Linked DNA regions of Danio rerio. The protein of the gene in region 1 binds, or shares a complex with, the protein of each later gene. Links are inferred from orthologs where the notes say so. Each region holds a gene or a part of one and is shown in the gene's direction. Other genes may lie near its edges.

Region 1 (4,186 bases):
TACTATCTAAATAGTATTAAAAGTTTATCGGGTGAAGGACTATCCCCTTAGATATCCTTTTACAACCTAAGTATACATGAATAAATGCCAATTTGTTAGTCGGAGCTCTAGAGACATCGTGTAACGTGCCGCAATGCTCCGTCTACCGTGTTCTAGTCCGCTACTAACCTGAACAGGGGCTTGTGGTGCTATGAAATTACCACAATCTACTAAAGATAATAACACGAACTCTGTTTGAATCATTCAAAACATAACAATTTATTAGTCAGGTAAATGTATTATGCCAATTCAATCAGTCAATTCATAAACGATCAATACAAAACATCAAATTATCAAAGATAAATCCAAGATGAAAAGATGCATTCCTGACTTTGAAATATACATAACATGGAACAAGCCATGTTATGGGCTGATCTGGTTAGGCAGAATCGCCCTGAGTTTTTCTCAACCCTTACCTTAAATAATCCAAGAATTCCCTCAAGGAAGGGGGTGTGAAAAAAGGCATTCACACTTAGTGTAAAAGTCACACCCCTCACAGTGGTTCAAAAGATGCCTGTAGTTCTATATTTATTATTCTGATTATGTCTATTTCTGGGAGAATGAGACCATTGTACCAATCGCACTGAGACATTTCAAATGATATCAAACATGATAGTTAAAGTCAGTTTGGTTAGTCTAAAACATTGAAACATTGAAATGACCATATGTGTGACTTGGGGGGATGAAGCTGAGTCTCAGCATAGTCAGATGCAAATGCAGCAGGAACTGGTTTTTCACGCGTTCCCCCCTGGTGGGTTGTGGAGTCCATTGGCCCTGTCTTCAGCTCATGTTTTGAATTGTCAAAGATATCAGAATATTTGCAATATTTCAATTCTTACAATATCTAAAGTGGTTGTTACATTTCAAGACAACACAAAACAACAGCAACAACGGCAACACACACACACACACACACACACACACACACACACACAATACTGCATTTCCCCCATAACATTCTCCAGCAGCCTATATTAAATGTTCAGCTTACCAAACGGTATGCAACAGTACAAGAAATGTAACAAATGGTTTCTTTATAACCATAACGTAATGCTGGTTTGATGGTGACCAAGCAAATGACATCACATTCAAAAACAGAGGTGGAAAATCCGACTGACGAAGCCTGCAATGACGCTTCTCCTCCACGCGATGGCGCCTCTTTATCAATCAGGAAGTCGCGCAGAGCGATCATGTGACTCAGTCAAAATGGCGTCGGGGCAACAGTGGGTGTTGGTGGAGATGGTGCAAGCTTTTTACGAGGTAACTACAAACTTTCTTCTTTTGTCTTTTTGAGGTTTTTAAGATTTGTAAATATCGACAGACTGTTCTGCGTTTGCTGAGGTAAACAGGACTGGCGTAGGTGGTTGTATTCGGCTGTATTTCACATGTAATCTTCAGTAGTCTCATAGTGTAACTCCAGGAAGTGTTAAATATGACATGAGTATCAGTCAGACAGGTGAGTTGCACACCTAATTCTACCTTTACTAGTAGCTATAGTGCTGTACCAATGGTGGTGGATTTACACAAATATAGGTTCTGCTAAAAATTGAATTATGTCATTGTATAACAAGAACACTGTTTATTTTGTTTTTATCTGTTGCCAAATTGTGTAGTAAGTTGAGGTAAAGTAGGTTTGGTATTCGCAAATTCGTTCTTTTAATGGCCCATATATTGTTTATCGCGCTAAGTTGAATATTGAGTCTGAAATAGCACGCAAGGATGACTTCAAAACAATGTTACCACTATGTAATTGACTGTAAATAAGGTTGTACTTTGATAGTCATTAACTGCTGTTGTGATTTCCCTATTTAAAATTTGCAAAGAGTATTTTTCTGAAATTATATTATTAAGCAGAAAGTCTGAATGTGCAAAAATAACAGAAACAATTTCCGTATTTTGGTGAAAACTTCATTTTTTTCATGGCAACGTTGACATTTGCATGGAATGGCTTAACTTATTTCTTATAACTGATTTATTTTATCTTTGTCATGATGACAGTAAATAATATGTGACTAGATATTTTTCAAGACACTTCTAAACAGCTTAAAGGGAAATTTAAAGGCTTTACTAGGTTTACTAGGCAGGTTTGGGTAATTTGGTTTGTTCTGTAGACTATTGAAAAAATATACAGCTTAAAGGGGCTAATAATTTTAACCTTAAAATGGCTTTTTAAAAAATGTAAAAAACTGCTTTTATTCTAGCCGAAATAAAACAAGTAAGACTTCATGTAGAAGAACAAAAAATTATCAGACATGCTGTGAAAATTTCCTTGATGTTAAACATCACTTGAGAAATATTTTTAAAAAGAAAAGAAAATTTAAAGGGGTTTAATAATTCAGATTTCAACTGTATATTTAATCGATGTACAGCTATGAGGAGGAAACAAAATCAATAGATCACTTGAAAATTCTCAGTTTCTCAAGATGTACTGAATTTTCTTCTTGCGTATTTGGTGTAAAAGGTTAATGTATGTTTTATTCTATAAGGGCTTCTTCCAAATAAAATAATTTAATTCCAAGTTGTTGTTTTCTTTTGGCAATAGGCCAGAATAACAAACATGAGGCGTTGCTGTAAATGAAAACTAGGGTTTTCATTTCTTAATATTTGACATGTTTAATATGAATATATGACTTTTTTTTCCAATTTGACCAATATTCTCTTAATGACAACATTTTTATATTGAAATTGGGAAAAAGTAATGTCATGATGAGTAGTGTGACGGACAAAACTGAAATATGCTTTGCTCAAACATGAGACTATACAGTGGAATTGAGAACTGGAGATTCTGAGCCTATTTGAAGGAGGTTAAGCTATTTTGATCATGATTAGGTGATATTTTTGTTATCAGTAATAATGACAAATTGCACCTTTTTCCAACAGGGAAAACCACCAACAATTAAGACCATGTGATTATGTGCTGTCATGGCTTTGCAATCCAAAAATGTAGTTATAATTGAAGTCAATGGGGCAAAAACAGCCACACACAGTATGTTAGAAAGAAAAATAAATAAAAATCTGATTCTGCACACAAACAAACAATGCAGCAAAGCCAATGTTGTTACTAACCTTTACATGTCCAAGACTGTAATTTAAAAGTACAAATAATTATTCCTAAACATCCCAATTTCTGTTTATTGAATGATGATTATGATCTAAACTAACTAAAAGGTTATTTCATACTGCAGCCAAGAAGGTTATATTCAAAATATGGCATGAACCCGCATTCCCAGTGGATAAAATGTGTTCAAAAATTAGAACGTTCTACAGCAAGAATTAACAGAGCTAAACCCCATACAATCAAAGCATGGTCTGATTTTATTGAGAAAGTTTTTAATATAATAACTAGATAATTCTCACCCTAGAGTTTTTCTTTTCCTGTGTATTGTTATTTGTTTATAATTTTTTGCTTTTATTTTATTATTATATTTTTATTTTATTCTTTATGTATTTTCATTTAATGCAAACCCTGGTTTTTACAAAGTTGTCGCTAGCTATGTATGCTGGCTTTGTTCTGCAATAAATAAATAATCACAAAAAAAGGTACAATTAAATCCATTTCACAGTTACCTTTTTATATAAAAAATCAGCGACATTACAAACTTGGGAATTAAAGAGTCAAAATCCTTTATTAAAAGAACATTTAGTAGTTTTGAACAGGACTAAGGATGTTTAATATATCTCTGGAAAAAAATTAAGAAATACCTATATATCTGATACATTTTTACAGTTTAATTTAGCAGATGTTTTCATTCCGAACGTAACCAAAGCATTGTGAATTCACAAGGGTTAACAGGGTTTTCTTCTATCAAATCATCTAATGTATATTGTATGTATTTAATATGATATGTATATGGCTATAATATGAAATCCATCAATGATTTCTTTTACATTATTTAATTTGTCGCCATTTTATACAATTTCTTATGAATGCATCTAATAATCAAAGGAACTGATACTATTTGTGTGTTGTTGTTGTTGTTGTTTTTTCTAGGCCCCAGCATATCACTTAATTTTAGAAGGTTTTCTCATTTTATGGATTATCCGACTGCTGTTTTCCAAAACGTATAAACTTCAGGAGAGATCAGACCTCACAGAAAAGGTGAGAGATGGATTATGCACGTCACATAGGATTCATTTACAGTTGCAT
Region 2 (2,949 bases), on another chromosome or scaffold:
CCAATTCACCTTTACCGCATGTCTTTGCACTTTGGGGGAAACCGGAGCACCCGGAGGAAACCCACACAAATTCAGAAATGCCAACTGACCCAGCCGAGGCTCAAACCAGCGACCTTCTGGCTGTGTGGCGACAGCATTACCTACTGCACCACTGCGTCACCTGCTCGTTAACACAAATTACTAATTAGCCAATCACATGGCAGTAACTCAATGCATTTAGGCATGTAGACATGGTCAAGATGATCTACTGCAGTTCTAACCGAGCATTAGAATGGGGAAGAAAGGTGATTTAAGTGACTGAACGTGGTATGGTTGTTGGTACCAGACGGGCTAGTCTAAGTATTTCAGAAACTGCTGATCTACTGGGTTTTTCTTGCACAACCATCTCTAGGGTTTACAGAGTGGCAGTTCTGTAGGCTCAAATGCCTCATTGATGCCAGAGGTCAGTGGAGAATGTCCAGATTGGTTCCAGCTGATAGAAAGGCTACAATAACTCAAATAGCCACTCGTTACAACCGAGGTAACCAAGAGCATGTCTGAACACACCACATGTCGAACCTTGAGGCGGATGGGCTACAGCAGCAGAAAACCACACCTGGTGCCACTCCTGTCAGCTAAGAAAAGGAAACTGAGGTTACATTTCGCACAGGCTCACCAAAATTGGACAATAAAAGATTGGAAAAAATGTTACCTAGTCTGAGTCACGATTTCTGCTGCAACATTTGGATGGTAGGGTCAGAATTTTGTGTCAACAACATGAAAGTATGGATCCATCCTGCCTTGTATCAACGGTTCAGGCTGCTGGTGGTGGTGTAATGGTGTCGGGAATGTTTTCTTGGCACACTTTGGGCGCATTAGTACCAATTGAGCATCGTGTCAATGCCACAGCCTACCTGAGTATTGACGGTATAGACAAGTCCAAAGTATAGAATGGGAGATTCGCATCATGGAAATGCAGTCGACAAATCTGCAGCAACTGCGTGATGCTATCATTTCAGTATAGACCAAAATCTCTGAGGAATATTTTCAGTACCCTATGATTAAGGTAGTTCCAAGGCAAAAGATGGTCCAACCCGGTACTAGTAAGGTGTACCTAATAAAGTGGCCGGTTTGTGTATATATTACTTATTACATTATATTACTAATCGTGCACAAAAATTTAAGTTTGTATTTACATAAAACATGTTCATGTACTGTATTGTTCTGTAAATGCACACACATGTCTACATATAGTATGTTAATACAAGTATATAATTTTGTTGTATGTATATGCATATTAAGATTATTGTTCACATTACTATGAACATATAAGGAAGTGCAAGGAAAAATCAAGAAGAAACCACATCCTGTTATTAGATGCAGTCTTATGCTGTGCTGTGTCTGCTTGAACAGCTTCTGTAGCCTTTGCTTCTGTGCATCTCATGTTGCTTTCTGACGTCGAACTTGATCTTGTCCTTGTTTTTCTCCTCTACAGGTATTTCCTGACCAGTTTCTATACAAAGTATGACAGGGTCCACTTCGTCATCAACACCATTTCCCTGCTCACTGTGCTTATCCCCAAACTTCCTCAGTTCCACGGGGTCCGTCTTTTCGGGATTAATAAGTATTGATGAGGCTTTGGTCTTCAACACGAGAAGATGTGTTGACACGCAGGGCACATCCTGACTTACTCTGTGGGAATGAAAAAGGAGCTTTGTGAGATGGTCTGCTGCTTTGCGGTCGAATCGGCTGAATAATCTGCAATGATCAGTGTTTTTTTTTGTATAACATTCAGTAGAAAGAAGCACTTTTTGTTAAACCACCAGCGGAATGCAGGAGATTATAAGACTGCGTTGAACCAGTGTTTCATCATTTGGACCTGAGTGTTTGCTTTCAGTCACTTTGGCAGAAATGCTGCATTGGTGCAATGATTCAGATGGGTCAGAATCATCCAGGCTGGTTCATCATGTCGTCTTAACTGTTTTGGGTGCCTGAGTCAGCACGTCCCTGGAGTACGTTCGGCACTGGGGGTTTAGAAAAGAGAAGAAAGCTACTGTGTTTCTGAAGAAAGTGTACAATGCTGTTTTTAGCCCAGGTGCAAAAGACTGGCTTCAGTCCCATAGTTGGACAATGTCACCCTGTGCTTTTGCAAACTTTTGCAGGGGCCTTGTTTTAAAACTTTTAAACAGAGCTAGTTGAAATTTATATATAGTAATATATTTTAAAGAGATGTATGCAAATGCCAGTTGCAGTGTTCTAAGGCCAGATTTATTAAATGGAGGAATTAACACGAGAGCACCGACCCATAAAAGTGCAGATGGGAAATATGCAAACATTAAATAACAGCATTTAATTATACTTTGAAATGAATATATTTAGATAATGTCATCATACGACATTCCACATTAATGACCATGAGTGGAGGAAATTCTCCCCTCTACTGTGTTTGTTTTGTTTTCTGCCTTCATCCTTCTCTAGCAGTTGTCACAGTCATGTCAAGCACAAAATTGGTTAGATAAGCTCTTAAAGATGTTAAACAATAGCACAGATACAAGTAATTTGGCTGTAAATGTTTAGTAAATAATATTGCATGATCAATTTAAATCCTCTCTTGCTCCTACAAATGCATATGAGTCAAAGACGAGGCACCCCATTGTTTTATTTACATAAAACAATTATACCGTAGTCAATATACAGTACTGACCGACAGCTTATTAAATGCCCCCAAAAAAAATGAAAAAAGAGATGGTCTCATCATTCATAACAGATTTATTTATTTATGTAACCCCCATAACTCAATGGCTGCAGCTCTGCACAGTTTAGTTCCAACCCTGGTCCAGCACACTTACCTGTAGGTTTCATAAGCTGTGTCCCAAATGGCACACTATACAGTACAGTACACTGTGCTCTTACCCACTATGTTCTGTACTCATGCACTTGCACACTCAACAGCATAGTATATGTATGTAG

What was found. Proteins that work in one complex are often made in the same cells at the same time.
Region 2: the proteins of sptlc1 (region 1) and ormdl3 are in contact, whole or in part, in a cryo-EM structure (PDB 7K0N), measured with the Homo sapiens proteins. The link is inferred for Danio rerio from reciprocal best matches to the Homo sapiens genes SPTLC1 and ORMDL3. Residues at the interface, in NP_006406.1 of Homo sapiens: Ala16, Leu17, Ala20, Pro21, Tyr23, His24, Leu27, Glu28, Leu31, Ile32, Trp34, Ile35, Leu38, Leu39, Ser41, Lys42, Thr43, Tyr44, Lys45, Leu46, Gln47; in NP_001307730.1 of Homo sapiens: Gly92, Val93, Gln94, Phe95, Thr96, Ala97, Lys100, Thr103, Ile104, Ile107, Tyr110, Phe111, Ser114, Tyr119, Gln121, Phe124, Thr128, Leu131, Met132, Leu139, Pro140, His143.

The regions. Positions count from the first base shown.
Region 1 is NC_133185.1:5,706,072-5,710,257, forward strand, and holds the start of sptlc1 (serine palmitoyltransferase 1), read left to right. Parts: upstream 1-1,226; 5' UTR 1,227-1,245; coding exon 1,246-1,299; intron 1,300-4,030; coding exon 4,031-4,138; intron 4,139-4,186. UniProt on the Homo sapiens protein: Component of the serine palmitoyltransferase multisubunit enzyme (SPT) that catalyzes the initial and rate-limiting step in sphingolipid biosynthesis by condensing L-serine and activated acyl-CoA (most commonly palmitoyl-CoA) to form long-chain bases.
Region 2 is NC_133187.1:23,968,153-23,971,101, reverse strand, and holds the end of ormdl3 (ORM1-like protein 3), read left to right. Parts: intron 1-1,474; coding exon 1,475-1,610; 3' UTR 1,611-2,306; downstream 2,307-2,949. UniProt on the Homo sapiens protein: Plays an essential role in the homeostatic regulation of sphingolipid de novo biosynthesis by modulating the activity of the serine palmitoyltransferase (SPT) in response to ceramide levels.